Saccharomyces cerevisiae S288C: one gene and its partners. Changing the gene in region 3 together with the main gene of any one other region gives a genetic interaction. Each region holds a gene or a part of one and is shown on either strand. Other genes may lie near its edges. The genes, in order: YCR102C, YOL057W, OTU2 and PAU9.

The links.
Region 1: mutations in OTU2 (region 3) and YCR102C together harm fitness more than expected from each alone (negative genetic interaction), as found in Saccharomyces cerevisiae (one large-scale study listed by BioGRID).
Region 2: mutations in OTU2 (region 3) and YOL057W together harm fitness more than expected from each alone (negative genetic interaction), as found in Saccharomyces cerevisiae (one large-scale study listed by BioGRID).
Region 4: mutations in OTU2 (region 3) and PAU9 together harm fitness more than expected from each alone (negative genetic interaction), as found in Saccharomyces cerevisiae (one large-scale study listed by BioGRID).

What each region holds. Positions count from the first base shown.
Region 1 is NC_001135.5:300,036-308,918, forward strand, and holds YCR102C (uncharacterized protein), read right to left. Parts: upstream 5,433-8,883; coding exon 4,326-5,432; downstream 1-4,325. Other genes in the region: YCR099C (uncharacterized protein), read right to left, coding at 797-1,264; EMA35 (Ema35p), read right to left, coding at 1,236-2,186; YCR101C (uncharacterized protein), read right to left, coding at 2,447-2,995; seripauperin PAU3, read left to right, coding at 7,766-8,140.
Region 2 is NC_001147.6:219,116-224,308, forward strand, and holds YOL057W (dipeptidyl-peptidase III), read left to right. Parts: upstream 1-1,651; coding exon 1,652-3,787; downstream 3,788-5,193. Other genes in the region: ARG1 (argininosuccinate synthase), read left to right, coding at 96-1,358; phosphoglycerate mutase family protein GPM3, read left to right, coding at 4,153-5,064.
Region 3 is NC_001140.6:71,470-80,125, reverse strand, and holds OTU2 (deubiquitinase OTU2), read left to right. Parts: upstream 1-1,772; coding exon 1,773-2,696; downstream 2,697-8,656. Other genes in the region: YHL012W (UTP--glucose-1-phosphate uridylyltransferase), read right to left, coding at 1-1,190; YLF2 (Ylf2p), read left to right, coding at 2,812-4,029; 40S ribosomal protein uS10 RPS20, read right to left, coding at 4,349-4,714; YHL015W-A (uncharacterized protein), read right to left, coding at 5,344-5,427; DUR3 (Dur3p), read left to right, coding at 5,882-8,089; YHL017W (uncharacterized protein), read right to left, coding at 8,252-8,656.
Region 4 is NC_001134.8:4,312-12,075, reverse strand, and holds PAU9 (seripauperin PAU9), read left to right. Parts: upstream 1-4,342; coding exon 4,343-4,471; downstream 4,472-7,764. Other genes in the region: putative Rab GTPase-binding protein SRO77, read left to right, coding at 1-1,229; MIX23 (Mix23p), read left to right, coding at 1,525-2,115; YBL111C (uncharacterized protein), read left to right, coding at 7,067-7,764.

The DNA of each region.
Region 1 (8,883 bases), on a different chromosome or scaffold from region 3:
AAATAGACACAGCCATTTATTATGCGTAAAAAAGATTACCCACTTGTCTTCGATGCGTGCTGCTGCCAATCAACCTTTTGAGCGGAACTTCGAGCTCGCAATGCGTCTGGAATGTTGCTAGAGACAGTCTTGGTTATCTGTGACATGTGTTTCGTTCAGGCGTGTGAGCATCTTCTTGTTCGATTTCAAAATTACCGCCTTGACTCGTGAAACTGGATAATTCGTTGGCGTTTTCATATAAGTCGTCTGATGGCGAAAACTTTTCCTTTACTTAGCATACAGCAAATATCCCCATTTGACGGATTTTTGAAAAATGAGCCCGCTAACCCAGAATGAACTGCATTACCAAGCATTTATGTAAACGTTCCGCCACCATCTTTGGTAAGGTATACTATTATGTTCTGGATTTAAGGTTGATTCACAATTTTTCATCACCAAAATCTGGTGGCATGCCTAGTTGTCTGGTTTCAGGCAATTTAGCCATCATAGAAAAGCATCCTCTGTCTTGAGTTGAGAAAATGTTACTCATAGAGCCAAACAAATAAACCCTGGAATTAAAATATAGTTTAAACACAACTTCATATTACACTGTAAATACATATCACAATAATAAATTAACGAAATAGTAAGACCTTATGTTTCTATATGACATCAGTCCCGAATAGTGTCAATTTTTTGTCGTCAGTGTCGAACATTTTTACTGTTTATTCATCATATCGTGAGGTATGTAGGCATCTTCTATTGACTTAAGCATGATAAAAGATTCACCCAAAACTGTATCGAAATATTGATAAAATTAAATTTCAAAGTCAAACTTGTTTTCAATGGTTGCTATTTTCTTACCATTCGAGCTCTCCCTCAGGATTTTTTCACATGGAATGTTCATGGCCTCAATTTCCATGGGCTTTTTGCATTTATCTCCTTTAATTAATTGTAATGGCTCTAATGATACAGTTTCGCCATTAGCTTTGTCACATATATCGGAAAGGGCAATCTGATCATAATCTGGTATACAGTCACCCTTTGCATCTCTAACAAATTCAGAAGAGCATTCGTAGTCGGATTCAGTACAACTGTCACAAGGTATTTCATGCAAAATCATATCTTTGAATGTCCTTTTTACCAAACAACGGGCGTCCTGTTTCCTCCTTTTATACATGTATTTGGCGCCATTAAGGCATTTCCCATCTGCCAAATTCCAGTCTTCGAAATCTTCCTCTTCACACGTTTTATAGTCAAAATGCAGCAGAAAAATCGATCGCATACAGGACACTTCTTGCAATATATGAGATGTTGGTGTTGTTTCCTTCTTGACTAGCCGTAGTAATGAGATGTCCGCTTAAAATAAATTTTGAGCCTGATCCATCTGGCGTTGTATTAATCAACTCTAATGGATGGATATAAAATAAAGCGTCAACAAGCTCATATTGATTCCATGTTCTACCTTGGTCCAAGGAAAAATAAAGTTTGGATTGTACATCACCATCTTTATATGAAGGAGACGGGATATATACAATAATATTTCCCAGATCACCAGTAGCATATAATCCAGAAGAATTATGGGCCACCCTCCATGTTAGACCACCGTCTCTAGAAATGAAAGTTTTTCGGTCCTTCCGATCGAATTCATTGTCATCGCCAACAGAACCTGTCATTAATATGATCCCAGCAGAAGGATTTGAAAGTTTTAGATTGTAAAAATAACCCTGAAGTGAACATCTCTCAGGCCTAGTGATATCACAGCCGAACGAATCGGCATTTTCTTCATCAACAACTTTCAAATTTGACCATGTGAGGCCGTTATCAACGGATATTTTGGTTTCTCCTCCGGCTATATTTTCAGTATAGTTTACTTGGTGATTAGAATAGTCAATGGAAGGATGAAACGATCCAAATATTGTCCCTTTCAAGAAATCAGGAAAAGTGAGCCTAAAATTTCCAAACTGATGGTTTGGTGTCCATTCAACAGGTGAGAATTTCAACCCTTGCGAATCTGATATGAAAATCTCTGAGAGATCTGGATCAGCATTTTCCTCATTTGTGATTTCTGTCGATATAAGAAGGATGATCCTTCCGATAGAATCTTCACGAATTTTAATCACTTTGACGTGCCGTAATTGAGTAGGCAGCTGTGCCTTTTGAAAAGTAGATGCATCATTGGATATCCAGATGTCCGTAGATGACATCTCGTTATGCCCGTCATCTTGCGTTAAAACGACCACATATGACTTCAATATCTTGTATTGAGTAACAATCTTATCTTTAAATTCATCAAAATCTTTAAACGTTTTGCCTCCATCACTACTGAAAGCCAACTGTGTGTAGGTAGCAGTTAAGCGATATTCTTCATCGTATTCACGGTTAGAGAACAAACAGAGTATCGAAGTATCATTACCAGTAAAGTCAGAATCCTTGCTAGACTTAATGAAATGACAGCTTTAAGTTGTTATATCGTCGTCTTTTTTCTTTTCCAAGGAAGGTTTAATTTTAAAAAAGGATTCCCATCATTGCTCAAGTAAATTTCACTTGGGTCATATAAAACGTCTGCGTCTATCATATAGCTATAGCAATTCGCAATAAGAAGTTCTTTGTTTCTAGGATGAGTAGTTATAAAACAGTCGCCATCTAAATATTCTTCTGATGAGGGTATAGTTAAAGCCCTCCATGACTCCCCACGGTCGTCGGTAATGTAGAATTTGGGTGATTCACATATAAAAGCGAAACCTCTTTCCTGTCCATGGAAAGGATCAACAGTAAATCTGAAAATGCGCTCTTCAATTTCTTTGACCGTTTCCCAATTTTCTCCAGCGTCGAAACTTATCCATACAACCCCCCAACCATCTAATCTGATAGAAGTGTTGGAATCATCAAAACTCACTAGATTAAATGATGTTTCTATAGGAGCCTCCGTTACTTTTGGGACAAATTTCTCTGCATTGAGTAGCGGAAGTAGTATAATTACCCAAAGAGTATATATGGCATGAAGTAATATCATAATTGAGGATCTCTTACCTTTTCTTAGTTCAAAGTTTTTTTTCAAAGCTCGGAACTTTATGCTACAATTCAATGACTAAAAAAAAGGTAGCGGATAATCTTTTGGTTGCAAATTGGCGGCATTTAAATATATTTTGGGTTGCAAGTATTCTAAAAATATTCTCATAATATTCTAAAAATATCCAGTCTAGGTAATTGCAATTATTTTGAGTCCGGTGACTTTGAGTTGACCATGTTCACTTCCTGTACAGCCATCAAGGTAACGTGTTTACCATCTAATGGAGAAAACCAAGAGATAAGACTAGAAACCTAGTTAGGATACTTGGATTTGCTAATGTCGCCAGTAGTACGATAATACCATAAAGATACGCTGTTGAACCTGATTTGTATATTTAAAGAATGGGAATCTTTAAGGGATCATAGTCTAGAATGGTATTCTGCAGAATAGATTTTAAATGGTGAAAACTTTCCCTCACTATGTCCAATTGATGCTTTTTAGGATGACGTTAGAATTTTATTCTGGTGAAGGCACTTTTAATATGAAGATTCGTTGAAGTATCAATAACCTTTTATTGGCATACCCTTACCTAACTGGTCTCTCTCACCTCGTGATGTTACGAACGCCACGATTATTCTCAAACTAGGTAAAGATTTTTTCTTCAAAATTAGTGGGAAAGACTCGACAGACCCGCTTACCAGGTATTCTTTCTAAACAATAGGGTTTACCAGTACCCCTGAAAATGATAATGCCCATGTGCGGCTGATCGCGTTAACTACGTATGCAGTTGAATCAAAGCCATACCACAGAAAATGGTACAAGAGCCCACTGGATAGAATAGTGCTGGCTATCAAACCAATATTTTCTTTCCAGCTCTTGGGGGACCTCTACTGCGTTATATCGTAGTTTCCATTCAGCCTGCTTATCGCCTTAGGAAAAGGGAATGTAAGAGGCAGAAAAGTGCGGCGCAATCGTTCGGACAGCGAGCCGCTATTATAGGTAAGAATTCTTAAAGAGCTTCGCCGGATATTATTACAGTGTATTAAATTTCGCCAAGTCTTTGCCAATGGAAATAGGTGCATAATTTTATGTGCTTGGTACATATGAGTTCAATAGATATGTAGTAGTTGGATAGTAGATAGTAAGGATATATAATCATGGAAGGGTGACGCACAACAAATCACATAATGAGTTATGATTTTCACTGTTCTCATCTGTTTCCCCTACAAGGCGTGATCAATAACAAACAATTTCATTAAAAAAAAAAAAACCAAGTCACTCTAACATACGTAATAACTGTGTATACAAAAGAAAAATAATATCTGTTCGTCATCTAGTTTAATACGGCAACTAGTTTTTCACCAGAGTTCTTACCGATTTTAATGTCTTCCAGGATACGAGGAACATCGTAAAGCCCGTTCTTATAGACCCTTGCTGGAATATGGTGAATTTGCCCATCACTAATCTTTGGATTGATGAACTTGACGAATTCGGTGGCAGCTCTCCTGGCTTCTGGGTCAGCAGGGAAAGTAATGCCACCAAATGGTACTTCATGGCCGCCTATTGAATACAGTCTTGTTCTGTCAATAGTGACATTTTGCCTCCTATTCTCCTTTTTGACGTTTTCTTCTGTCAAATTAGTTAATTCGACAACGGTAGCATCCTGTTTATCGGCCGCACATTTGTACACTTGTTGAAGCGTATTTTGATTCGCGACACAGTCGACTAAATACGAGATATTGTTGTACTTGTGTTTAATTTGTTCTACCACGTCAATATCATGGTAATCAAATAGTTGATCAGCACCATATTCTTTCAACAGTTTTTCGTGTTTCCGAGAAGCCACAACAATGATCTTGGTGAAGCCATTCAATTTATTGGCTAATTGGATGAGCGACTGACCTACTGCAGTTGCACCGCCCCATAATAAGATGGGGCCGTTTCTTTGTGGGGTTGATGGCTCCCACTTCAGGTTCAAGCCCAAGTTATAGGTCAACACCAAGCCAGCTGTGGTCAGTGACACTGGGATAGTGGCTGCCCCTTCCAAAGACCTGACAGGGCCGGCAGGTAGAACATCTTCACCCAAAAATTTGAGTTCATTGGGTGATTTGTAGGCAACCACAGTTGAAATAGCAGAATATTCAGCAAAAGCACCATTGGAAGGAAACCTTACGGAAGATCCGTGAATGAACCCATAAATATAATCACCAATAGAAAAGTCTTTAGGATCGACGGCTGGGCCCAATTTGACAATTTGGCCGGCAGCGTCACATCCCAGAATAGATCCTTGAGGCCCGACCTTGTAGTCAATGTGTGCCCAATCAGTCGGGTTACCAGCAACAGCGAGTGTCTTAATCAATACGAATCCTTCTTCCAATTCAGGAATGGGAACGCCCTCTTTGACAACCGCTTTACCGTCTTCAATGACGACAGCCTTCATGGTTTCTGGAATTGCAACTTGCCTGTTTGTAGGTTATATGTAATTGTCGTTGATAATCTGTATTCAGCTTGCCATTTTATAGAATATGGTTAGAAGGATCTTAAGCTAGATAAAGAAAAAGAAAAAAATAGAAAAAAGCCTGCCCGCTTTATAAGAACTTTTCTCAATATCTGTTGAGGAACACTTAGTAATATTGTCTATCATGGTTGCTTTATTCTTGGTGATATTACTCTCTGGGATTCGATGTGTTCTCATCATCTGAAGGGTTTCCTATGTGTTGAAAGCCTATCCCACTAGACGGAGCCGCGCGCCAGCCGGGCGGATCCGAGACATCTTAGTCAGCTGAGACAAGAAAGGCACAGCTCTCGGACAGGAACTGCTGTCATATGAAAACCTAAAAATGTTTCCTGGAAATTCCATGACTGCGCAAAGTTTGATACGTTTATTGTTCTTCTCTACTACCGCACTTTCTATCTCGGAAACCTTTCAACTGAATGAACTATTGTTAATTGTATGGCGTGTGGCCTTGCTATTTCAGCAAATTTAGAGTAAAGTAAACTCCGTCGGACCAGTATAGTAACGAAACAAGCCATTGATTCTGCAGCATATTGCGACCAAAACCTGGAAATTGGTGGCTATGAGTTTTAATTTATAATTATATGAAGACAAAGCTTGGAATGCTGAGTACTTTTTCTTCAATGCTGCTCACTGCCCAGAAGCGTTCAGAACAACTCTACTGGAGCCATTCTGCTTGAAGGAGGATAAAAATGCCAAGATCAAGTCTTTTAAAGACTCTATCCCTTTTCATCGGAAAAGCACTACAAGTTTATTCTACAGAAGTGGACAAACTGTGGAACTTGATCCATACTGAGTAAGTATGGAAGACTGTTAACTTGGAGGATTTTTCTCTGCTTTCTAAAGAAGGTTCACTGCTTTACACTCACCTAGGTTCTCATGAGTATTGCTAGCTAGTGCGAGTTTGATCTATACTTCACAGACTTTTAACACCCCGTTCTTTAAGTTTTCCCTGATTATCAAGCGGATTTCCAATTCTTATTCCCCACTATCGCACCTTTCTTATCTGAATTGTATTTTTGAGTGGCCTAACTGTAATCTTTTATTTTGTTTTCTAATTATTGAAGGCGGTTTCTCGAAACATTTCACGATTTCCAAAATTCAAGAATTGAAATTATGAACATAGAAGACAAAATGCCTTTTTTATCAACTATTATGAATTCTCTAGAAAGTGGTTGCAAAGGAAATAAATATGTATTTGCTGAGAGGAAAAGTTTGGAAGAACAAAAAGTATTTCTTTGATGGAGCTGATTATCAAGCATTCTTTACGGGGAGCTTTCGAAATTTTTTATATTCAAGGACATTTATGTTGTGTGGGTTATTAAACGTGGGACTTTGGAAATACATCCAAGAAGCACAATTGAGCTCTAACGATGAACCGTTACCATAAAGATAGAGACATTTCTTTTGACTTAGAAGCTACATGGAGTACCAACTATTAATACACCTCTCCTAGAGAACATTTTTAAAATAGAATAAAATAAAGTAGCGCTCTCAACTACCCTTACACTTTTTTCCTTCATATCTGGCTAGAAAAGAGGGATTACATCTCGGAATCAAAGTTTTAATACTGCTACTACGAACTGGTTACAATTCTATTTTTATCATACACGATACTTTGAACATCAACTTCTCTCAATACCATCCGCCTTCAGCGGCTACAATTACGTAATTGCACCAAGGCATTCGCCGAGAGTTTACATATTTGCAGACCCTAACAGTATACGACTCCCAACACACGTTTAATGTTGTACGAATTCAAGAGATGGAAATATTTCTTCCGCGGAAGCCGTTTAAAGCAGACTGAATTTAGGCTTAGACAATAAGCTTCTGAACGAGGGTCCAAATCTAAAATTCGGATATTCTTTTTGACCGAAAGCGGAAACTTCACAGGCGCGCGTAAAAGGGTTTTTCAAGGCACCCCGGCACCCCTATAATTGGCATTCCCACATTCTGCGCATACGAATACACATGAGTGCCATAAAACAATACTCCACATACGAAACCTATGAAAGATGTATGATTCGTTCAGAAACAAGAGCATCTCCATAGAGATAATGAGATTGTGTGAAAGATGAGATATGGAGGATATGTGAGGTGCTAAATGAGCGTCTGTTAACGAATCGTTTAAGTAGTGATGACAGATGGAGGAACGGGTATAAATAGAGCTGCTTCAACTATATGCCTTTGAGGTATGCGCTTTCATTTCACTATTTCTTGTTAAGATTACATCAGCACTAACAAACAAAACAAATACAATGGTCAAATTAACTTCAATCGCTGCTGGTGTTGCCGCCATCGCTGCCGGTATTGCCGCTGCCCCAGCCACTACCACTCTATCTCCATCTGACGAAAGGGTCAACTTGGTCGAATTGGGTGTTTACGTCTCCGATATCAGAGCTCATTTGGCTCAATACTACTTGTTTCAAGCAGCTCATCCAACTGAGACCTACCCAGTTGAGATTGCTGAAGCTGTTTTCAACTATGGTGACTTCACCACTATGTTGACTGGTATTCCAGCTGAACAAGTCACCAGAGTCATCACTGGTGTCCCATGGTACTCCACTAGATTGAGACCAGCCATCTCCAGTGCTCTATCTAAGGACGGTATCTACACTGCTATTCCAAAATAGAGACATGCCTTTACTAATGAACTTCCATAGACATTGAAAAATAACGAAAGAATAAAAAAAAAATCTTTTTTTTTTTTTGATATAAATACAGTTGACTATATAAACATATATCAATACTATAAGCCTATATTTGATCAAGACGACATTATTTAGGTGCATCAACAACGGAAAAGAAACTTTCTTCTAGGCTATCCTTCTGGGGAAGCAGTTGAAAGTGCTATCCAGTATTATTGCATATATTCTTAATGAGTAGTGCTGAAGTTTGATACGTTTGGCTCTGTTGCTTTTATTTCTCCCACGAAAATAAATTGATTTCTTTATTTTTCAGTGTGTTGGCCCGGAGTTGTTTACACACATGTCTCTTTTTGGATTAATGCTGTAGATCAGGGACTATGCGAGCGACAAGTCAGAGTAACCATATTGAATTTTCGTCTCCTGTTATACGAATATTTGCATTTCTGTGCCTACTTATGTGTGTATATGTTTTTATTAGTCAGAAAATGGAGTAAGTGTTAAAGTAAGGATAGTGTTAAGGAGGTAATAACTAAAGATTTGTAGGATAAGGCGGTGTTATTTGTTGCAATTTTCTCAGGGGTGGAGTGGAAATGGTTTGATTCAATTATCAGTTAAGCAAGGAAGAGTTGAAGGGCGAACATTTGCAATAATCCCAATGTCATTTAATGCGGGTCGGCTGAGACGCTCAATATTCGGCCGAAAAGTATCATTCGGCCGCATAATAAAAT
Region 2 (5,193 bases), on a different chromosome or scaffold from region 3:
TACTTCTTGTATCTTGTCTCCCCATTGTGCAGCGATAAGGAACATTGTTCTAATATACACGGATACAAAAGAAATACACATAATTGCATAAAATAATGTCTAAGGGAAAAGTTTGTTTGGCTTATTCTGGTGGTTTAGATACCTCCGTCATTTTGGCTTGGCTACTAGACCAAGGCTACGAAGTTGTAGCTTTCATGGCTAATGTAGGGCAAGAAGAAGATTTCGATGCCGCCAAGGAAAAGGCCTTGAAGATCGGTGCCTGCAAGTTCGTTTGTGTGGATTGTCGTGAAGATTTTGTCAAGGATATTCTATTCCCAGCTGTACAGGTCAACGCTGTGTACGAAGACGTTTATCTGTTGGGTACCTCTTTGGCAAGACCTGTTATTGCCAAAGCCCAAATTGACGTCGCTAAACAGGAGGGCTGTTTCGCGGTCTCTCATGGTTGTACCGGTAAAGGTAATGATCAAATCAGATTCGAATTGTCATTTTACGCTCTGAAGCCAGACGTTAAGTGTATTACACCATGGAGAATGCCTGAATTTTTCGAAAGATTTGCTGGCAGAAAGGATTTGTTAGACTATGCTGCACAAAAGGGTATTCCCGTCGCCCAAACCAAGGCCAAGCCATGGTCTACTGACGAAAACCAAGCCCACATTTCTTACGAGGCAGGTATCTTGGAAGACCCAGATACCACCCCACCAAAGGACATGTGGAAATTGATCGTCGATCCAATGGATGCTCCGGACCAACCACAAGATTTGACCATTGACTTTGAACGTGGTCTTCCAGTCAAGTTGACCTACACCGACAACAAGACTTCCAAGGAAGTTTCCGTTACCAAGCCTTTGGATGTTTTCTTGGCCGCATCCAACTTAGCAAGGGCCAACGGTGTTGGTAGAATCGATATTGTAGAAGATCGTTACATTAACTTGAAATCCAGAGGTTGTTACGAACAGGCTCCATTGACTGTTTTGAGAAAAGCTCATGTTGATTTGGAAGGTTTGACTTTAGACAAAGAAGTCCGTCAATTGAGAGACTCATTCGTCACACCAAACTACTCCAGATTGATATATAACGGTTCCTACTTCACCCCAGAGTGTGAGTACATCAGATCTATGATCCAACCATCCCAAAATAGCGTTAACGGTACTGTCAGGGTTAGACTGTATAAGGGTAACGTCATCATTCTGGGCAGATCTACAAAGACTGAAAAGTTGTACGATCCGACAGAATCCTCTATGGATGAGTTGACCGGTTTCTTACCTACCGATACCACCGGTTTCATTGCCATCCAGGCCATTAGAATTAAAAAATACGGTGAATCCAAAAAAACCAAAGGTGAAGAGTTGACTTTGTAAGTCCGCTAGTTCATCGCCTCAAGATAGATAACGATCTCTTCCTCCACCTCCTATTTCTGCACACTCTTGTGATGTAAATACATATGTAGACATATGTAAGCTTTTGTATAAATAGTTTAAGAAAGCATCATACCAATTTTGAATAGAAGAAAAAATAGCTAAGAGCATAGCCGCTCGGAATAAGTTGACGTAGCGAAAAATCCCAATATCGTAAAGGAAAAATACCTTCATGAGAACAGAACATTGAAAAGAAGAAAAAAAAAACTGAGCACTGCACCATTAAGTCCTCAAAGATGAGCCACTTTTTCGCCGATCATGATGCTCCTCTGAGCATGCTTTCTGTTAAAACAGAATACTTTCCTCAATTGACTGATAAGGAACAAAAATATGCGCATTTCATGTCAAAGGCCTCCCATGCGGGTTCAAGGGTTGTAATGAGACAAGTTTCTCATGAGAGTGAGCCAATTTTTGACCTAATCCTTGCCATTCATTCAAAGCTAAACGGCAAGTACCCAGAGGACGATATTACGCAGAAGCAGCAAACGGGTTTGTATTTGGAATACGTTTCTCAATTCTTATCTAATTTGGGTAATTTCAAATCGTTTGGTGACACTAAGTTTATTCCTCGTTGTGAGGTAAAATTCTTCAAACAGCTTTTGGAGCTGGCCAAGATTAATCCGTGTTCTTCTCCGCTCACTTTATCTCCTGTTGACGTTAACCATGAATTCACATCTCATCATCTTTTTTCCACCATCAATGAGCTAATTGATATTGGTATTTACCATGTGGAAGAGAAGGCGGCTCTCTTAGGGTTTCCCTCTCAAGGTTATACTTCAGCCTATTATCTGGGTTTACCTGTGACACCTGAAGATATGGCTCTTTTGAAAGAGCAGTTGTTTGCTGAACTTGCCATCTTGCCTGAAAACACAAGAATCAACAAAGTTGGTGAAAACAGTTTCCAAATCTGGGTTGCCTCTGAGAATGTGAAAAACCAGATAACAGAAACCTACCCCAGTGGACAGATCACATTATCCAATGCTGTAACCAAAGTAGAATTCATTTTTGGTGATCATTCACGTGAAATGCGTTTAGTAGCATCGTATTTAAAGGAAGCTCAAAAATTCGCGGCTAATGATACTCAAAAAGCAATGCTTCAGGAATACATCAACCACTTTGTCACTGGCTCTTCTCAAGCACATAAAGAAGCACAAAAACTTTGGGTCAAAGATATATCTCCCGTCATTGAAACAAATATCGGTTTTATCGAAACATATAGAGAACCCTCGGGCATAATTGGAGAATTTGAATCGTTGGTTGCAATTCAAAACAAAGAACGTACTGCTAAATTTTCCAGCTTGGTTAACAACGCAGAAGAATTCATTTCCTTACTACCATGGTCTAAAGATTACGAAAAACCGATTTTCAATCCACCAGATTTCACCTCTCTAGAAGTATTAACGTTTACTGGATCGGGTATACCAGCGGGCATCAATATTCCAAACTATGATGATGTTCGGCTTAAAATTGGGTTCAAGAATGTTTCTTTGGGGAATATCTTAAGCGCGGCTGCCAAAAGCTCATCCAAGCATCCGCCAAGTTTTATATCGCAAGAAGATCGCCCAATTTTTGAAAAATATCAAAGTGATTCTTTTGAAGTCCAAGTAGGCATCCATGAATTATTAGGACATGGTTCAGGAAAGTTGTTGACAGAATTTACAGACGGCTTTAATTTTGATAAGGAAAACCCTCCTTTAGGTTTGGATGGGAAACCGGTGAGCACATACTACAAAGTTGGTGAAACTTGGGGTTCCAAATTTGGACAGTTAGCTGGCCCATTTGAAGAATGTCGTGCGGAAGTAATTGCCATGTTTTTGCTTACTAATAAGAAGATTCTTGATATTTTTGGTTTCCATGATGTCGAATCTCAAGATAAAGTGATCTACGCTGGATATCTACAAATGGCCCGTGCGGGTCTCCTAGCTTTAGAATACTGGAATCCAAAAACTGGTAAGTGGGGACAACCACACATGCAAGCAAGATTTTCTATCATGAAAACATTTATGAAGCACTCTACAGATAAGAATTTCTTAAAGTTGGAGATGAACAGCACGAATGATGATTTTGCCATCAAGTTGGATAAATCTCTCATTAAAACAGCGGGACATGAATGTGTGAAAGACTATTTAAAGCATTTGCATGTTTACAAATGTTCAGGCGATGTGGAACAGGGAAGTAAGTACTTTATTGATAGATCAACGGTGACACCGGATTTGGCGTCTTTAAGAGACATCGTCTTATCTAAGAGATTGCCAAGGAGACAATTCATACAATCGAATTCTTATATTGACGACAATAACAAGGTAACCCTGAAAGAATATGATGAAACCCCACAGGGTATGCTCCAATCTTTCCTTGATAGAGAATTATGATGTCCTTAAGAGCACACGTTTTAATTAGCAACCTTTGCTGTTGCTTTTGTTCAAGCTATTAGATTATGTAAACAGATATATATTATGTAAGTGTGACAGGATACGACAGCACTAACTGTCAGCGAATTTTGATTTGTTACTTTTGCTAGTTTTGTGTGACTTTCCTTTGTTTTTTAACTTTTTTTTTCAGATTTGTATTATGAGATGATAACAATGCGAGATTTCATTGACAAGTTCGATAAAACAATAGAAGCTTCCATTTTATACATATGTGATAAAACAACCTGCAATCGAGGATTTACAATAAAAGTCTCTTTGAGAGGATTGAGAAATAGTGCAAAAAGATCTACTAATAACGAATAGTTATGACTGTTACTGACACTTTTAAACTGTTTATTTTAAGGCATGGTCAAAGTGAATTAAACTCAGAAAACATATTCTGCGGATGGATTGATGCTCAATTAACGGAAAAAGGGAAGTCTCAGGCCCGCCACTCTGCAAAATTGATCAAGCAGTTTTGCGATTCTAACAATATCTCTTTGCCTCAGATTGGCTATACTTCAAGGTTGATTCGAACTCAGCAGACCATGGACGTTATTCTCGAAGAGTTGGGACTAAAACACACCAATTATGTAATTACTACGAATACAAACATTAAGGAGGAGCTGCAGGACACAAGATTTGAAGGAAGTATGCCTGTGTTGCAAACCTGGAGGTTAAATGAGCGTCATTACGGCGCATGGCAAGGACAAAGAAAGCCAGATATCTTGAAAGAATACGGTAAGGAAAAATACATGTATATCAGAAGAGATTACAACGGAAAACCCCCTAAAGTCAACCTAAACCTGGAAATGGTCCAAGAGGAAAATGATCAGGGGTCCTCCACAGGCTATGATTTTAAGGAGCCCAATAGACACTTAAAATACGGCCCCGAAGAGAAGGCTAATGAGCGTCTGCCAGAAAGTGAGTCTCTTTGTGAAGTGGTCGTCAGATTGAAACCATTTTTAAATAATGTTGTTCTGTCTACCGCCAACAAAATCAGTCAAGAATCGTGTGTTATAGTTGGGCATGGCAGCTCTGTAAGATCTCTGCTGAAAGTATTGGAAGGTATCTCAGATGAAGACATCAAAGATGTCGATATTCCCAACGGCATTCCGCTAGTTATAGAGTTGGATAGAGACAATTACTCTTTTGTGAGGAAATTTTACTTGGATCCAGAATCAGCTAAAGTTAATGCTCAAATGGTTCGTGATGAGGGTTTCGAAAAGAATCCATGAATAGTTTTTAAAAATAAAAAATTAGCGCCATTTTTTTCATGGTTTCCTTTTATATTTCCTTCTTTCTTTATTGATAGAATAATGAGTAACGAAAAGCAGCTAAATAAACGTGTTTAAATTTCTATAAGA
Region 3 (8,656 bases):
CCATTTGAATCGAGATCATATAATGTTGATTTCAACAAAAACAAGTCCTTACATGTTCTTAGGGGTAAAAATCTGTCTCTTGATACTTTCAATACTCGACTGTTCGGAAAGAAGGCAATACAATCGACCAACTGTGTCTTAAATTGAAGACACTCTATCTCTTCATTTTTGTGTGTTATTTTACTTTCACTAGAATGAATTGGCAAATTTAAACTATTAGACTCTATTAGCACCTTTAGCTTTTTCAAATCAATCCAAATGTTATTAGTGTTGACAATTCGACACGTGCTTGCACTTTCATTGGATAAGCAGTTGTAATAAACCGATCGTAGTTTACCTTTATATGTTGCCAACACTCCAGTGTTTGAAACATTTGCAGTCCTTTCAACTACTTCAACAAGATACTCGATTTTTTCATTTATGATGAAATTTAAAATGTTCAAATCTCCTGTAGCGCCCAAATTGTCAACATTTGAAACAAATAAAATCTCTTTTCCTTGAGCAATTAATTTGTCCAATTCTCCTGAAAAATACAAAGTGTCAGTTAGGTTACCAGTCCCGCAAGGATACCAAAAATCATTTTCATGAGAATTTATTTGTAAATCGATAGGTAATAATCTATCTTTATCAATTTGTGGAAAGCTTGACTGAACTACGGTTTTCCATCTCACTTTGCTAGAAGAATAATGCTCTTCAAGGAAGTTTGATACTTGAGATTCAGTTTCAAGCGAGGTCATAAATATAAGAGGAACGTCTGAATTATATCGTACATTCAAATTTTGCGTTTGTCGAACTATTACATCCAATGAAGACATCCCATTTTTTACTTCGAATAAAGGGCTTTCTTTACCAATGATTGGATTAGCCTTTCCGGTTAATTTTAAAATAGCTAACTTTGATAATAGTTTACCCTCTAACAAACCGTAATTTTTAATATCATCGAGTTCAACCACTTCATCAATTATCGGTAATCTAATTTTGTCACAAACTAGATCATGGGTGATTGAAGTATTTTCTAAGACATATCTTTGAAAAATGTGCAAAAATAGGCTAAACTCATAATTCTTGTCACGTATCGAAGGAAAATGTTTCTGCAAGGCCCTTATCATTTGTGACATAACAACATCCTTTCCAATACCTTCGAAAGTACCTTCAAACTCTATTTTATTTACTCCAGAGAAAACCGTCATTGATCTTGTATATACTATGTAGAACAGTGAAATATTTTTCCTTTTTTTTTTTATTATCAAGAATCACTTGTGTCAGTTATCGTTAAATTCCAGGTTACAAAAAGATTGTAAATGCCAGGGAAAATACAATTCAAAAAAGTTACAGTATAGTTATATTTAATTACTTAAATTTACTTTTTTTACTATAAGGTGCTATTCCTGCATTCTTTTTTTAATTAATCAGGACTTATAAGCTGATAGTACTTTCATTCTTTTTTTTTTGTGTGATAAGGCCATTGAACATTATGGAAGACTAACTACTTTTTCTTCAAGAAAATTGTGTGCTTCTACTCTCGTTCAATACAGGAAATTTTAATTCCAACAGAGTGGAAATTTATGGTTTTCTTACCACAATAAATTTCTCAATTGTTAAAATCTGAAAAGTTGGCAGCCCTGGCCCTGTCAAAGAAAGTATTATTATGCGTCGCGAAATTTCTTTTTCTTCACGCCTTGTTTTTAGTTTGGGCATCTCGAAAGCATCTAATACAAAATCCAACTAAAGCACAGCATTCAATCTAGTAGAGAGAACAAGAGATATTCATCATGACCGGCATGGAATCAGGAGAGAATTTGGAAAACATGGAAGATATTTTGGCGAGACATCGCAAGGAAAATAAAGATTTACAGAATAAGATAACGGGTATGAAAAAGCAGGCTACTAAATCCAAAAGGAAAGAAGTTAATTCGAAATGCCTAGATCTTCAAGATAAACTAAAGACTAAGCAAGAAAATGAAATAAGGGATTGGAAAATTGCAAATAATGAAGTGTTTGACGCAGAACAAGAAGATGAAGTGACTCCTGAAAAACTTTTAGAACAACTATCCATATCTCGAGATGAGAAAGAACAACAGAATGTTCCCGTTCAACAACAGCAACAAGGCCAGACAAAGAAGCGTCGCAATAGACAAAAGGAAAGATTGGCCAAAAGAGATGCAGCAATTGCTAAAATGAAAGAAGAGGCTGCTTTAGAAGCATCCAAACAACCGGACTTGAAAAAAATGGAGCAGGAGTCTATAGATCAGTTATGCGAGTTGAAGAAACTGAAACAATTCGATATACAACCCGATGGCCACTGTCTCTTTGCATCTATATTAGATCAGTTAAAATTACGCCATGATCCAAAAAAACTGGATCAAGACATGGATGTCATGAAGCTGAGATGGTTGAGTTGTAATTACGTACAGGAGCACAGGGATGATTTCATTCCATATTTGTTTGATGAAGAAACTATGAAGATGAAAGACATTGATGAGTATACGAAAGAGATGGAGCATACAGCTCAATGGGGTGGTGAAATTGAGATTTTGGCTCTCTCTCACGTTTTCGACTGCCCCATTAGCATTCTGATGAGTGGAAGACCTATTCAAGTGTACAATGAATGTGGGAAAAATCCTGAATTGAAGCTAGTTTACTATAAACACAGCTATGCATTAGGTGAGCATTATAATTCATTGCATGATTCTTGATTTTTCCCATCCGTATCTAATGAGATATGCTTATTTGTAAACCTTAATGCATCTATTTAATTGTATAGTTTGAAGCATATGGATATAAAAGAATAAAGAGAAGTAATAATCGGATATGAACATTGGTGGAGGAAAATTTTTACTTGGGAGGATATCGAATAATCCAACTTCAGGGATAGTAGGGCTTGCTAATGTTGGTAAATCGACTTTTTTCCAAGCAATAACAAACTCAAAATTGGGAAATCCTGCAAATTATCCATTCGCTACCATTGACGCAGAATGTGCCAAAGTCAATATACCTAGCGTGCCGCTCTCTAATTTATTGAGAATATATCAGAGTGCGAAATGCGTACCTGGAACACTCACAATATATGATATTGCTGGGCTCACCAGAGGCGCATCTCAAGGCCATGGTTTGGGTAACAAGTTCTTAAACGATATCAGACACGTAGAGGGGATATTTCAAGTGGTGAGAGGATTCTTAAAGGAAGACATCACCCATATAGAAGGTAATGTTGATCCTGTCAGAGATCTATCCGTGGTACAAGATGAACTCATCTTGAAAGACTTAGAATTTCTGGAAAACATTAGGGAAAGACTTAGTAAGAAGATGAGAATGGTTTCGAAGAATTCTAAAGAACATCAGGAAATGAAGATAGAGACAGAATTATTAGATGCATTAGAGGAACATTTGTTTAACGGTAAAAAAATCCGGCATTTCAAAGATCATTGGAACCTGGATGAAGTCAAAATTTTGAATAAGCATAACTTTTTAACCTCCAAACCAACTTTGATATTGCTAAATGTTTCACCTCAAGATTACGTTAGGAATGAAAATAAATTTGTCAGAAATATTATAGAATGGATTAACGAATTTTCGCCAGGAGATAAATTCCTACTTTTCAGTGCAGAATTTGAATCGCAATTGATGGAATGTAAAGGCATAGCGTCAGAGTATTTTGACAAGATCAAGGAAGATACCAATGTTTCTGATCAACAGTTAGTTTCTGCGATACCGCAAATAATACTAGAAATGAGAAAGTTGTTGAACTTAATTAGCTTCTTTACATGCGGCCCACAAGAAGTTCACCAATGGAATATAAGGGAGGGAACCACCGCTCAAGAGGCCGCGGGTGTAATCCATAGCGACTTGCGTGAAACATTTATCAGCGCTGATGTAATAAAATATGACGATCTGAAGAAGATGGAACCACCGCTAAATGAGTCTTTACTAAAATCTAAGGGACTTATCAAACGTGCAGGCAAACAATATATTATGCAGGACAATGACATTGCCTTATTCAAAGCCGCCGGTGGGAAAATTAAGAAATAGTTTGTCATAAAAAATACTTGTAAATATGAATAGAAACGCTTGCTTTGTTTTGTCTTTTCCAATAATTACACAAGAATCAACAAAAGTATGAGATATATATATATATATATATATATATATTATATTTGCATAAGGTTTAACCACTGATAGTAAGACAGAGGTATATCGAGGAACTGTGTTTACCTAGAGTGGGCTGATTCTAATAGTGCAGCTATATGCGAAAATGAGAAAAAAGGAACCGCTGAATTCAATAATATATTTTGGTTAATGGACGAGAAAAAGAGGAATCTAATGGAAATTATTTCCAGTTAGAACCAGCTTAGTTGGAAGCAACAACAACTTCGACATCCACACCAGGTTCAATGGTGATTTGAGTGATTCTCTTAACGATTTGAACAGGAGCTTCCAAGTCGATGTATCTCTTGTGGATTCTCATTTCGTAGGTTTCCCAAGTCTTAGAACCTTCACCATTTGGAGTCTTTCTGGTGGAGATCTTCAAAACCTTGGTTGGTAGTCTGACTGGACCCTTCTTGACCAAGTTGTGTTGTTCAGCGTTCTTGACAATGTTGGAAGAGACGTTTTCCAATTGCTTAACCTTGGTGGAGGTCAAAGTGATTCTAATCTTGATGATTTGTTGTTGTTGTTGTTCTTGTTCTTCAACCTTTTCCTTTTGAAAGTCAGACATTTTGTATATACCTTTTTGTTTATTTTACTTGCTTTCTTGTAGGAGTTTCAATCTAAAGCTGAGCTTGAATGAAATAACCCATCTTTACTATTATTTTGAATTCAATACGGTCTATTACTCAATCTCTGAGGCTAGTCGCGAATGCGTCGAAGTTTTTTTTTCAAAATTAAAACATTATCGTTACCCGAACTTTATCTTCATAAAAATAGTTGTGGCATTTTTTCTCTTATGTTTACGGATGTAGAAAATGTACAGGTGTGAACTTGCAGGTAAACATTTTTACATTTTTACTTTTATCTTTTCCCCTTCTATAGAGATAAAAATAAGAAGTTTCAGGGAAATCTCTCTTTCCATAGTAAATAGTGTTAGCAGCAGACAAGACAAGAAGGATATCAATGACGATACGCATTTTTCCGAATGATCTGGTCAGATAATTCTTTTTTTCCCTTTATCGGGAGGTTTTGATGAGAAAACGATGTCAATAGTATTCTAGTCACAATAGGGAGCTAGACGGCTATTCAATCAGAATGCGACTATCCGGAGTTATCCTCAATGATAGACGTTTCTCCAGTTAGGAGCGCCAAGAATGTGTGAACAAAATGCACAAGGTGCAGATTTGGCGCTCTTTATCAGCGCTTCATACGGTAGATATGAACTTTAATTTTGAGATTAGCCAAGACCAAAGGTTCTCTTAAAGATGCAAAAGCAGTCATACAGGTATTTGTTTTATGCAGCAAGGCTGACTCAAACTAGGCATTCCAATTCTGTTTATCTATTGGTGCCGCACCTTTTTTCCGATGATGAAATGAGGCGGCGCACATTTGGGTGTTATCTTATCGGGATATTTTATGATAGCAAATGCGACAGACAATAATGCTCGAGAGTGGACAGGCCAATAGTCAGTTGCAGCATAGAAACAAGCAGGCGTACCTATGGGAAAGGTGTAACTCATCATTGCGCTTTCTACGGTACGGTTATCCTTAGATAACAGGCAAGATGTGCTCTATTCATCGGTGTTGCATGAAGATACGTCTTGTTCGCCAAGTATATAAAATGAAGCAGTAGTATAGCCGTAGCTTTACTATTGTTAGCAGTTTCCCTTGTCTAGATTCTTAAATTGGGTTCATCCAAGAAAAAGTAATAACATAAATTTGTCATTGTTATAGTATGGGAGAATTTAAACCTCCGCTACCTCAAGGCGCTGGGTACGCTATTGTATTGGGCCTAGGGGCCGTATTTGCAGGAATGATGGTTTTGACCACTTATTTACTGAAACGTTATCAAAAGGAAATCATCACAGCAGAAGAATTCACCACCGCCGGTAGATCTGTAAAAACCGGCTTAGTGGCTGCAGCCGTGGTTTCTAGTTGGATCTGGTGTTCTACATTGTTAACGTCGTCAACAAAGGAATATGCAGACGGTATATTTGGCGGTTATGCGTACGCTGCTGGCGCATGCTTCCAAATTATTGCATTCGCAATTTTGGCAATTAAAACCAAGCAAATGGCTCCCAATGCGCACACATATTTAGAATTAGTGAGAACAAGATATGGTAAGATCGGCCATGGTTGCTACTTGTTTTATGCCATCGCGACGAATATTTTAGTCACTTCAATGCTTTTAACTTCAGGTTCTGCTGTCTTTAGTGATTTAACCGGGATGAACACTATCGCATCATGTTTTTTACTGCCTGTGGGTGTTGTTGTTTATACTCTATTTGGTGGGATTAAAGCAACTTTCTTAACGGACTATATGCACACATGTGTCATTATCATCATTGTCCTCGTATTTGCCTTTAAAGTTTATGCGACTAGTGATGTTTTAGGCTCACCGGGAAAAGTTTATGACTTAGTTCGTGAAGCCGCCAAGAGGCATCCAGTAGACGGTAACTATCAGGGTGAATATATGACCATGACATCCAAATCCGCTGGTATTTTATTAATTATTAACCTGATTGGAAATTTCGGCACCGTTTTCCTTGATAATGGTTATTGGAATAAAGCGATTTCTGCTAGTCCCGCAGCGAGTTTGAAAGCATATGCCATCGGTGGGTTAGCATGGTTTGCAGTACCTTCTTTGATTTCATTGACCATGGGATTAGCATGTCTTGCGGTGGAAACGTCTCCGAACTTCCCCACCTATCCTGATCCACTTACTTCGTTCCAGGCAAATTCTGGGTTAGTCTTGCCGGCAGCTGCAATTGCTATCATGGGTAAGGGGGGTGCTGTGGCATCGCTGCTAATGATTTTCATGGCCGTCACATCTGCTATGTCTGCTGAACTAATTGCCGTTTCATCTGTTTTCACTTACGATATCTATAGAGAATATATTGATCCTCGTGCAAGCGGTAAGAAATTGATTTACACATCACACGTTGCTTGTATCTTTTTTGGTCTTGCCATGAGTGGATTTTCGGTTGGTTTATACTATGGTGGTATTTCTATGGGTTATATCTATGAAATGATGGGTATAATTATTAGTAGTGCAGTATTACCTGTCGTTTTGACCTTATGTTCCAAAGACATGAATTTGGTGGCCGCTGTAGTGTCGCCTATTTTGGGCACAGGACTGGCTATAATGTCATGGCTTGTCTGTACCAAATCCCTTTATAAAGAATTGACCGTGGATACTACGTTCATGGATTATCCAATGTTAACAGGTAACTTGGTGGCTTTGCTATCACCAGCCATTTTTATTCCTATTTTAACGTATGTGTTTAAGCCACAAAATTTTGACTGGGAGAAAATGAAAGATATTACTAGAGTTGACGAAACTGCAGAGTTAGTTCAGGCTGACCCTGATATCCAGCTTTACGATGCTGAAGCTAACGATAAGGAACAAGAAGAAGAAACAAATTCTCTGGTCTCAGATAGTGAAAAAAACGATGTTAGAGTAAATAATGAAAAATTGATTGAGCCTAACCTTGGTGTTGTAATAAGTAATGCCATTTTTCAAGAAGATGACACACAGTTACAAAATGAATTAGACGAAGAACAAAGAGAACTAGCACGTGGTTTAAAAATTGCATACTTCCTATGTGTTTTTTTCGCTTTGGCATTTTTGGTAGTTTGGCCCATGCCCATGTATGGTTCCAAATATATCTTCAGTAAAAAATTCTTTACCGGTTGGGTTGTTGTGATGATCATCTGGCTTTTTTTCAGTGCGTTTGCCGTTTGTATTTATCCACTCTGGGAAGGTAGGCATGGTATATATACCACTTTGCGAGGCCTTTACTGGGATCTATCTGGTCAAACTTATAAATTAAGGGAATGGCAAAATTCGAACCCACAAGATCTGCATGTAGTAACAAGCCAAATTAGTGCGAGAGCACATAGACAATCATCACATTTCGGACAAGTTGATGAAATAATTTAGCTTTCAAAATATAATATTCTATCCACTCATCAACCTCATTAATAATTTTTAAATAGCTCTAATTATAAAATAGTCTTTCATTATAGGTACATAAAAGAAAAGAAAGTCAAGGGGAAAAAAAAAAAAAAAAGGAAATTTCTAAATTTATGTTATTTGGTCCGTTTATGTAGTACTTCTATCATTTTTTGCATCTCTGTCGTAATCTACGTCGAACAATACGTCATTATTTGCGTTCGTATTTGCATTTACACTTGGCACTTCTTCAAAATCGGATGCTAAATCAATATCCATATTGTGATCGTGTTCCTGGTAGTCATTACGTGGCTCTCTATTAGGCAATGCCTCATCAGACAAGGAATTTATGTCATCTAAATCGAATTCTGATACATTTTCCATGTCAGTTGGTAATTGATGCGAGCACGCTAGTAAATATGATGTACTTGTAGGTCTCCAGAAGAATGCGAAAATGACGAAGACCAAGAAGTAAACGAAACTAGGCCAAGTATCTGTGATGAGGAATTCTGTTTTCCAATATTGTTCTATCATGTCAACAGTGTCCATACCGAC
Region 4 (7,764 bases), on a different chromosome or scaffold from region 3:
TGTCCGCAATCATGAATAGTAATATCGGGTTCGTTGCCGTTGGTTTCATTGAAGGAACCTTAATAATATTGGACAGAAGAGGCCCGGCTATAATCTTCAATGAAAATATTAGGGTCATTTCTAAAGCTGGTAGCTCTTACGTTTCAACCGTTCACTTTTGCGTCATGGAATATGGAGATGATGGGTTCTCTAGTATTTTGATGCTATGTGGAACGGATATCGGGGAATTGATGACTTTCAAAATACTGCCTGCAACTAATGGAAGATTTGAGGTTAAATTCACTGATGCAACAAAGACCAACAATCAAGGAAAAATTCTAGGAATAAATTCTTTTGCCAAAGATACTGGCTACAGTTGTTCTGCTACTATATCAAAGATGCAGGGTTTAAGCAAGGGTATCGCAATACCTGGATTTGTTACTATCAGTGGCGCAAATGACATTCGTTTAGTATCACCAGGTAAATCTAAGGACACTCATGCGCTTTTCAAGTATCCAATTGCCACTAGTGGATTATCATTTATTCCCATTATTGACGGTAAAGGAGAAAGAAAGCTTTCAACTATTATGATCGTTTTGCTAATTAATGGAGATATTAAAGTTTTGACAGTACCTGAGCTTAAGGAAGTCAAAAATCTACGCTGCCCGGTCCCTCTAAGCGCTCAATACGTTGAAAATTCATCTATATTAGAAAATGGTGACATTGTCATTCGCACAGGGAAATTCCAAGCCTCTTTGATTTCAGTACTTAATGAAAGTGCCACCGGAACGAATCATACTGCTGACATATCACAACATACTCCTATTGATACCTTGTACAATCCTGATTTAAAGATTGGTTATAGGCCTCAAGTGAATTCCTTACAATGGGCTAGAGGAACTATTTATTGCACACCATATCAACTTGATGAGCTACTGGGCGGTATAGAAAGGCCCGAATCGAAGTATGAGGAAAGCGCAATTGCTCGAGGATGCATATCTTCCAGTAGTAGTAATGCAGCCAGAAAGTTACCTCCCGGTACGGAAGATCACAGGTATGCCAGACCTGTAAGAAGCTCTGGAAGAAGTAATGGATATGGTGTCCTTAAAAGTGTTTCTAGGGCAATTGAAACTCGTTTAGACACGGTAGAAACCACTATTAATGACTATGCAACCACAATGGGACAAACCATGAATGACGCAATGGAAGAAACGGGAAGGGATATGATGAAGAGCGCTGTAGGTTTTTAGTCCATAAATAGTTTTTATAAAATTCGATCAGGTTGCCCTTGCTCGCATAAGAATTTTATCAGGCTCTAGACTCTAAGATAGGAGGCTTGAAGCGATTTTGTTGTTGATAAGTGAAGTTTTACACTATTCCATATTGTAGTTTACTTTTGCTTGTTACCCAGAATCGCCTATATATTCACTTTTGAACGTGACGGTAATTTTGTCCGCCAAGTTAAATATCCTTTGGGTAGTTTGAAAAACTTGGATATAGTTAGAAAAAAAACTTCTCATTTATACACGTAGACAAAAAGACGGTATGGTTGATAATAGGCGTACGTTTACGGCACCCCAAAGCTTACTTGAAACAAATCTTACTTTTCCGAATGATGAACCGTCACTTACTACAATCACAGTTACGCGAGAAAGATGTGTTGATCCAAGCTTGATAGATTCATTTTTGAGGTTTCTAAGGCATGGAAGTGATGATATAATAAGACAAAAATTAAACAACTATAGGAAAGGCTCTATTAATGGAAAAAATAAGTGTAAGGAATTTTTGAAGCAAGAACTATATCCGAACTGGCAAATACGGAATAATATAATTTCATTTTGCGAAAAAGAGGCAGCAGAGATGAAGAACGAGACCGATCAGCAGTGCGGTAATAATAAAAAGACTACTGCGGAACCACTTATAGACGCAAGAATTGATCCTTACGCTGCAAGAGAAAGAGCGGAGAAACAGGAAGCTCAATATAAGGATTGGACGAAGGTGACAGAGTGGGTGGCAAATAATAGAAAAATAGAACAAATTTTAACTTCTACAACAGAGGGCATTTTAAGGCAAAACTGCGAGCAAAATAATGACTACTTGAAGGAGTTTACGCAATTCTGCAAGGACAACAGTTGAACGCCCTATTCTTCTAGTCCGCTGAAAGATTATATCACTTAAAGATTCTTGTACATAGGAAGTATACTTATTATCGCCTTTCGTTTATCTGTATTTGTTAAAAAATATGCTCCAACTTGTGTAGTGAAAGAGATTTTTTTGCTAAAACCATTATTGCTGGATGCAAAGGACGCCATGAAGAAAAACTTACTTAGTGAGCCGCTTTTTGGCTTATTAATAATTCTTCTTCTCAAACTGCAATTGCATTTCCCTATTATTCTAGTTAATAGTACGTTAAATCATCAAAAAAAATACTGAAGGATGCGAGGTTCGAACTCGCGCGGACAACCGTCCAACAGATCTTAAGTCTGCCGCCTTAGACCACTCGGCCAACCCTCCACGAATTTTCTAAACCTTTCCGGTAACCAGTTAAATACCCTATTTTACCCGAATCCTCAGAGTCTGTGAATAATTTAATAATCTTTGAGATTCCATTGTTGGTAAGGGTTATACTGTTATGTATACAATTTACTAGAAGCTCTCGTCGATGGTATTGGTGTAGAGAATGTGGATTTTGATGTAATTGTTGGGATTCCATTGTGATTAAGGCTATAATATTAGGTATGTAGATATACTAGAAGTTCTCCTCCAGGATTTAGGAATCCATAAAAGGGAATCTGCAATTCTACACAATTCTATAAATATTATTATCATCGTTTTATATGTTAATATTCATTGATCCTATTACATTATCAATCCTTGCGTTTCAGCTTCCACTAATTTAGATGACTATTTCTCATCATTTGCGTCATCTTCTAACACCGTATATGATAATATACTAGTAACGTAAATACTAGTTAGTAGATGATAGTTGATTTTTATTCCAACAATTGGAATCCTCAAAATGGAATCGGTATTTCCACATAATAGTATTACTACTTTTTTTTTTTTTTTTTTTTCATTTATACTTTGTCATTCAGTATCCTGTTACATTATCAATCCTTGCATTCCAGCTTCCATTATATTTGAAGACTGTTTGTCGATCTTTATGTCATCTTCTTTTTCGGCATGTGATAATATACTGGTAACTGGAATACTACTAAAGGAATGATATTTTAGAGTTTCATCCCAACAATTGAAGAGACGTGACTAATGCTATGTTAAAAAATATGTGGCAGCTAATAACATCATACCATCCTATCATAATATTGTTATCTGTCGTTGCAAACTGCAGATGTGTTTGAAAATGACTTTTAAGTATGTGCCCTCGTTGCCTTTTGAGCGTAAAAAAAGTCACTTACTCCTGCAGAGGGGTTAACTACGCTATAGACGGGCCTTGACACATTTCATAAACACATATTTTCACATGTCAGGAATTTTCTTAACTATGCACTTTTGACGCCTTGCGTATGTTTATTCTATTTACAGCTTTGATGATGCGTACAAGTCTCTAGAATCTAACAATATACGACTCCCTGCACATGGTTGCTATTTTTTATTCAACCTTCAGGAATGAGTAACAAAGATGTTGCTTTGCATGGAAACCGTTTAGGACACACCAAATGATGGCTTAGACAGTAAGCTTCTGAACGAGGGTCCAAATCTAAAATTCGGATATTCTTTTTGACTGAAAACGGAAACTTAACAGGCGCGCAAAAGGGTTTTTCAAGGCACCCCCCGGCACCCCTATAATAGGCATTCCCACATTCTGCGCATACGAATACACATGAGTGCCATAAAACAATACTCCACATACGAAACCTATGAAAGATGTATGATTCGTTCAGAAACAAGAGCATCTCCATAGAGATAATGAGATTGTGTGAAAGATGAGATATGGAGAATATGTGAGGTGCTAAATGAGCGTCTGTTAACGAATCGTTTAAGTAGTGATGACAGATGGAGGAACGGGTATAAATAGAGCTGCTTCAACTATATGCCTTTGAGGTATGCGCTTTCATTTCACTATTTCTTGTTAAGATTACATCAGCACTAACAAACAAAACAAATACAATGGTCAAATTAACTTCAATCGCTGCTGGTGTCGCTGCCATCGCTGCTACTGCTTTCTGCAACCACCACTCTAGCTCAATCTGACGAAAGAGTCAACTTGGTGGAATTGGGTGTCTACGTCTCTGATATCAGAGCTCACTTGGCCCAATACTACATGTTCCAAGCCGCCCACCCAACTGAAACCTACCCAGTCGAAGTTGCTGAAGCCGTTTTCAACTACGGTGACTTCACCACCATGTTGACTGGTATTGCCCCAGACCAAGTGACCAGAATGATCACCGGTGTTCCATGGTACTCCAGCAGATTAAAGCCAGCCATCTCCAGTGCTCTATCCAAGGACGGTATCTACACTATCGCAAACTAGGGAGTGATGCCTTTACGAATGAAAATCCATAGACAGTGAAAAGTAATGAAAAAATAAAATAAAAAACTACTTTTTTTGATGATATAAATACCGCCGATTATATAAATGTATATTAATATTATAAACCTATTTGATCAATGACGGTGTTCGTGAAGCATTTTATGAATACGATGAACATAAGAAAGAAACTTTTACACTATTGTAGAAAAAGCGTGGACGGTAATAAAGCTAACAGAGTATGTCCAATAAACAATAATGAAATTGGAAGCGTATGACTTCGCAGCACTTTGTCCTTCCATAAAAATGAGTCGCTGCTTCTTTTTTCATTTTTTGGCGCGTCGCGTCGGGCCATATAGAGTATGCGTCACTTCTAAGAACAAGATTGCAGATCAGGGTAGTGGAGTTACAAGTCATGGTACCAAACTCTCATTTGGAGATCCTCATTTTTTGACACCTAAAATATTAAGATTTATGGTTTGGGATAGTTTGTTGTAACTGTAACTAGAAATAAAGCTGAGGGGTTAGTGTTTTATCAACAATAAGATAGAGGGTGGTAAGATGAAGTGAGACAATATCGTAACGTCCGTTTTAGTATACGGCGCTGATAAGTTATAATATAGTAGGGTTATTTGACGTTTCATTATAATTCTACAAAAACAACGTACATATCACTGTATCGTCTTCTTTAGATATAGTCTCTTCGTATGAGTAGTGTCACATACAAGATTAAAGATGCATCAGTTATGCTTTTAGGATATTGCGGATAGCATATGAGAATGGAAATAGGATACAATTGTATCATAGCACCGGCATGAGTTTGAGCCACTACCGTATTGTTTCTCGGTGAATATAGAGTGTTACGACAGTGAGGTGGCATATTATTCTAATGTATGGTCTGTGAAAGTTAGAAATATTCTGAAATGGTATCCGTTCAAGCAAATGGTAATATTAAGGAACTTTTACGTTAATGACGTCATGGTGGTATAGATACGCAATTGAGTGTGTTTATTTCGTAAAGTTGAAAGATAAATAATTTTTATGTTTAGGTGATTTTAGTGGTAATTTTTTGGTTATATTGGCATAAGTGTATATAATTTGAGTGGTTAGTATATGGTGCAAAAGTGGTATAACGTATGTATTAAGAGCAGTTATACAATATTTGGGCCCGCCGAATGAGATATAGATATTAAAATGTGGATAATCGTGGGAGTTATGGGTAAATGGCTCAGGGTATAGACCGCTGAGGCAAGTGCCGTGCATAATGATGTGGGTGCATTTAGTACTGATTTAGTGAGAGATGGGTCATGGAGTGGAGTAGAATGTGAGAGTAGGGTAAGTTTGAGAGTGGTATATACTGTAGCATCCGTGTGCGTATGGCATATCAGTATACAAGTGAAGGTGAGTATGGCATGTGATGTGTGGTGGTATAAAGTGGTAGGGTAAGTATATGTGTATTATTTACGATCATTTGTTAACGTTTCAATATGGAGGGTAGAACAACAGTATGGTGAGTAGCAGATGGTGGATGGTAGAGTAATGGCAGGGTAAGTGGTAGTGAAGTTGAATATGGCTAATTGGAGGGTAACGGTTATGGTGGACGGTTGATTGGTGGTAGTAAGTAGAGGGATGGATGGTGGTTGGGAGTGGTATGGTTGAATGGGACAGGGTAACAAGTGGAGAGGTAGGGTAATGTGAGGGTAAGTTGAGAGACAGGTTGGAAGGGTTGAAATAGGGTAGGGTTAGGGTAGTGTTAGGGTATATATATATGTCACTGTATTGCATGCTGGATGGTGTTAGACAAGGCCGTAGGGACATATAGCATCTAGGAAGTAACCTTGTACGAAAATAGGCAATATTTCCTGTTTAGGCGATTGTGACGCAGATTTTAGTCCAACGATCTAGCGTCAAGGAATTTTTTTATAGTGGGACATTGCACCAAGGAAGTAACTTGATACGTCGTGGGTGAATGGGTCTGTTTTCTTATTCGGCGGGGTAATACATTTTTGGGGGAAGTTTGTCTGTCTGACGCGCCATATGTAGGTACGCCAAAAAGGGCTCCTCTACTTCGAAGCGCGAGGTCGTATACCTAATAAGGAAATGTAATTTATAACTTTTTATTATATTGGTCTTTTCGAGAGCGGAACGTAGGTCCATGTTTAAAGTATCCAAGAGAATATCCACGAAGCGGCTGAGCAACGAACAGAATCCTGGTTCTCCTCGACTAAGCAGATAGTTAAGATACTGTGCACCATGGAAATTGAAAACGAAAGTACGTACCGACTACTTTATTTTTGCAGGCCGGAAATCAAGCGATGAATGAGACATCCTTCTGTTTTCTATGTTGTGCTTGAAGGGGACAGACAGTCGCTTATCTTAGTGAGATTTCTTATTAACTGAATTTTCTTTGCTGCTGCTGGAGATTTGCACCTGCATAGCGCAGATTCTGCTTCTTCTCAATAGAGTAGCTTAATTATTACATTCTTAGATGATGATAAGACGGAAACTGGACAATCTTTTGTTTATATTGATGGATTTCTTGTCAAAAAGCATAGCAATCAACATACTATTGTTAATTTCGAAACTTACAAAAATAAAATGAAAGTTTCCGATAGGCGTAAGTTTGAAAAAGCAAACTTTGACGAGTTTGAGTCGGCTCTAAATAACAAAAACGACTTGGTACATTGTCCCTCAATAACTTTATTTGAATCGATCCCCACGGAAGTGCGGTCATTCTACGAAGACGAAAAGTCTGGTCTAATCAAAGTGGTAAAATTCAGAACTGGTGCAATGGATAGGAAAAGGTCTTTTGAAAAAATTGTCGTTTCCGTCATGGTCGGGAAAAATGTACAAAAGTTCCTGACGTTTGTTGAAGACGAACCAGATTTCCAGGGCGGACCAATCCCTTCAAAGTATCTTATTCCCAAGAAAATCAACTTGATGGTCTACACGTTGTTTCAAGTGCATACTTTGAAATTCAATAGAAAGGATTACGATACCCTTTCTCTTTTTTACCTCAACAGAGGATACTATAATGAGTTGAGTTTCCGTGTCCTGGAACGTTGTTACGAAATAGCGAGTGCCAGGCCGAACGACAGCTCTACGATGCGTACTTTCACTGACTTTGTTTCTGGCACACCTATTGTAAGGAGTCTTCAGAAAAGCACCATAAGGAAATATGGATACAATTTGGCACCCTACATGTTCTTGTTACTACACGTAGATGAGCTATCGATTTTTTCTGCATACCAAGCAAGTTTACCTGGCGAAAAGAAAGTCGACACAGAGCGGCTGAA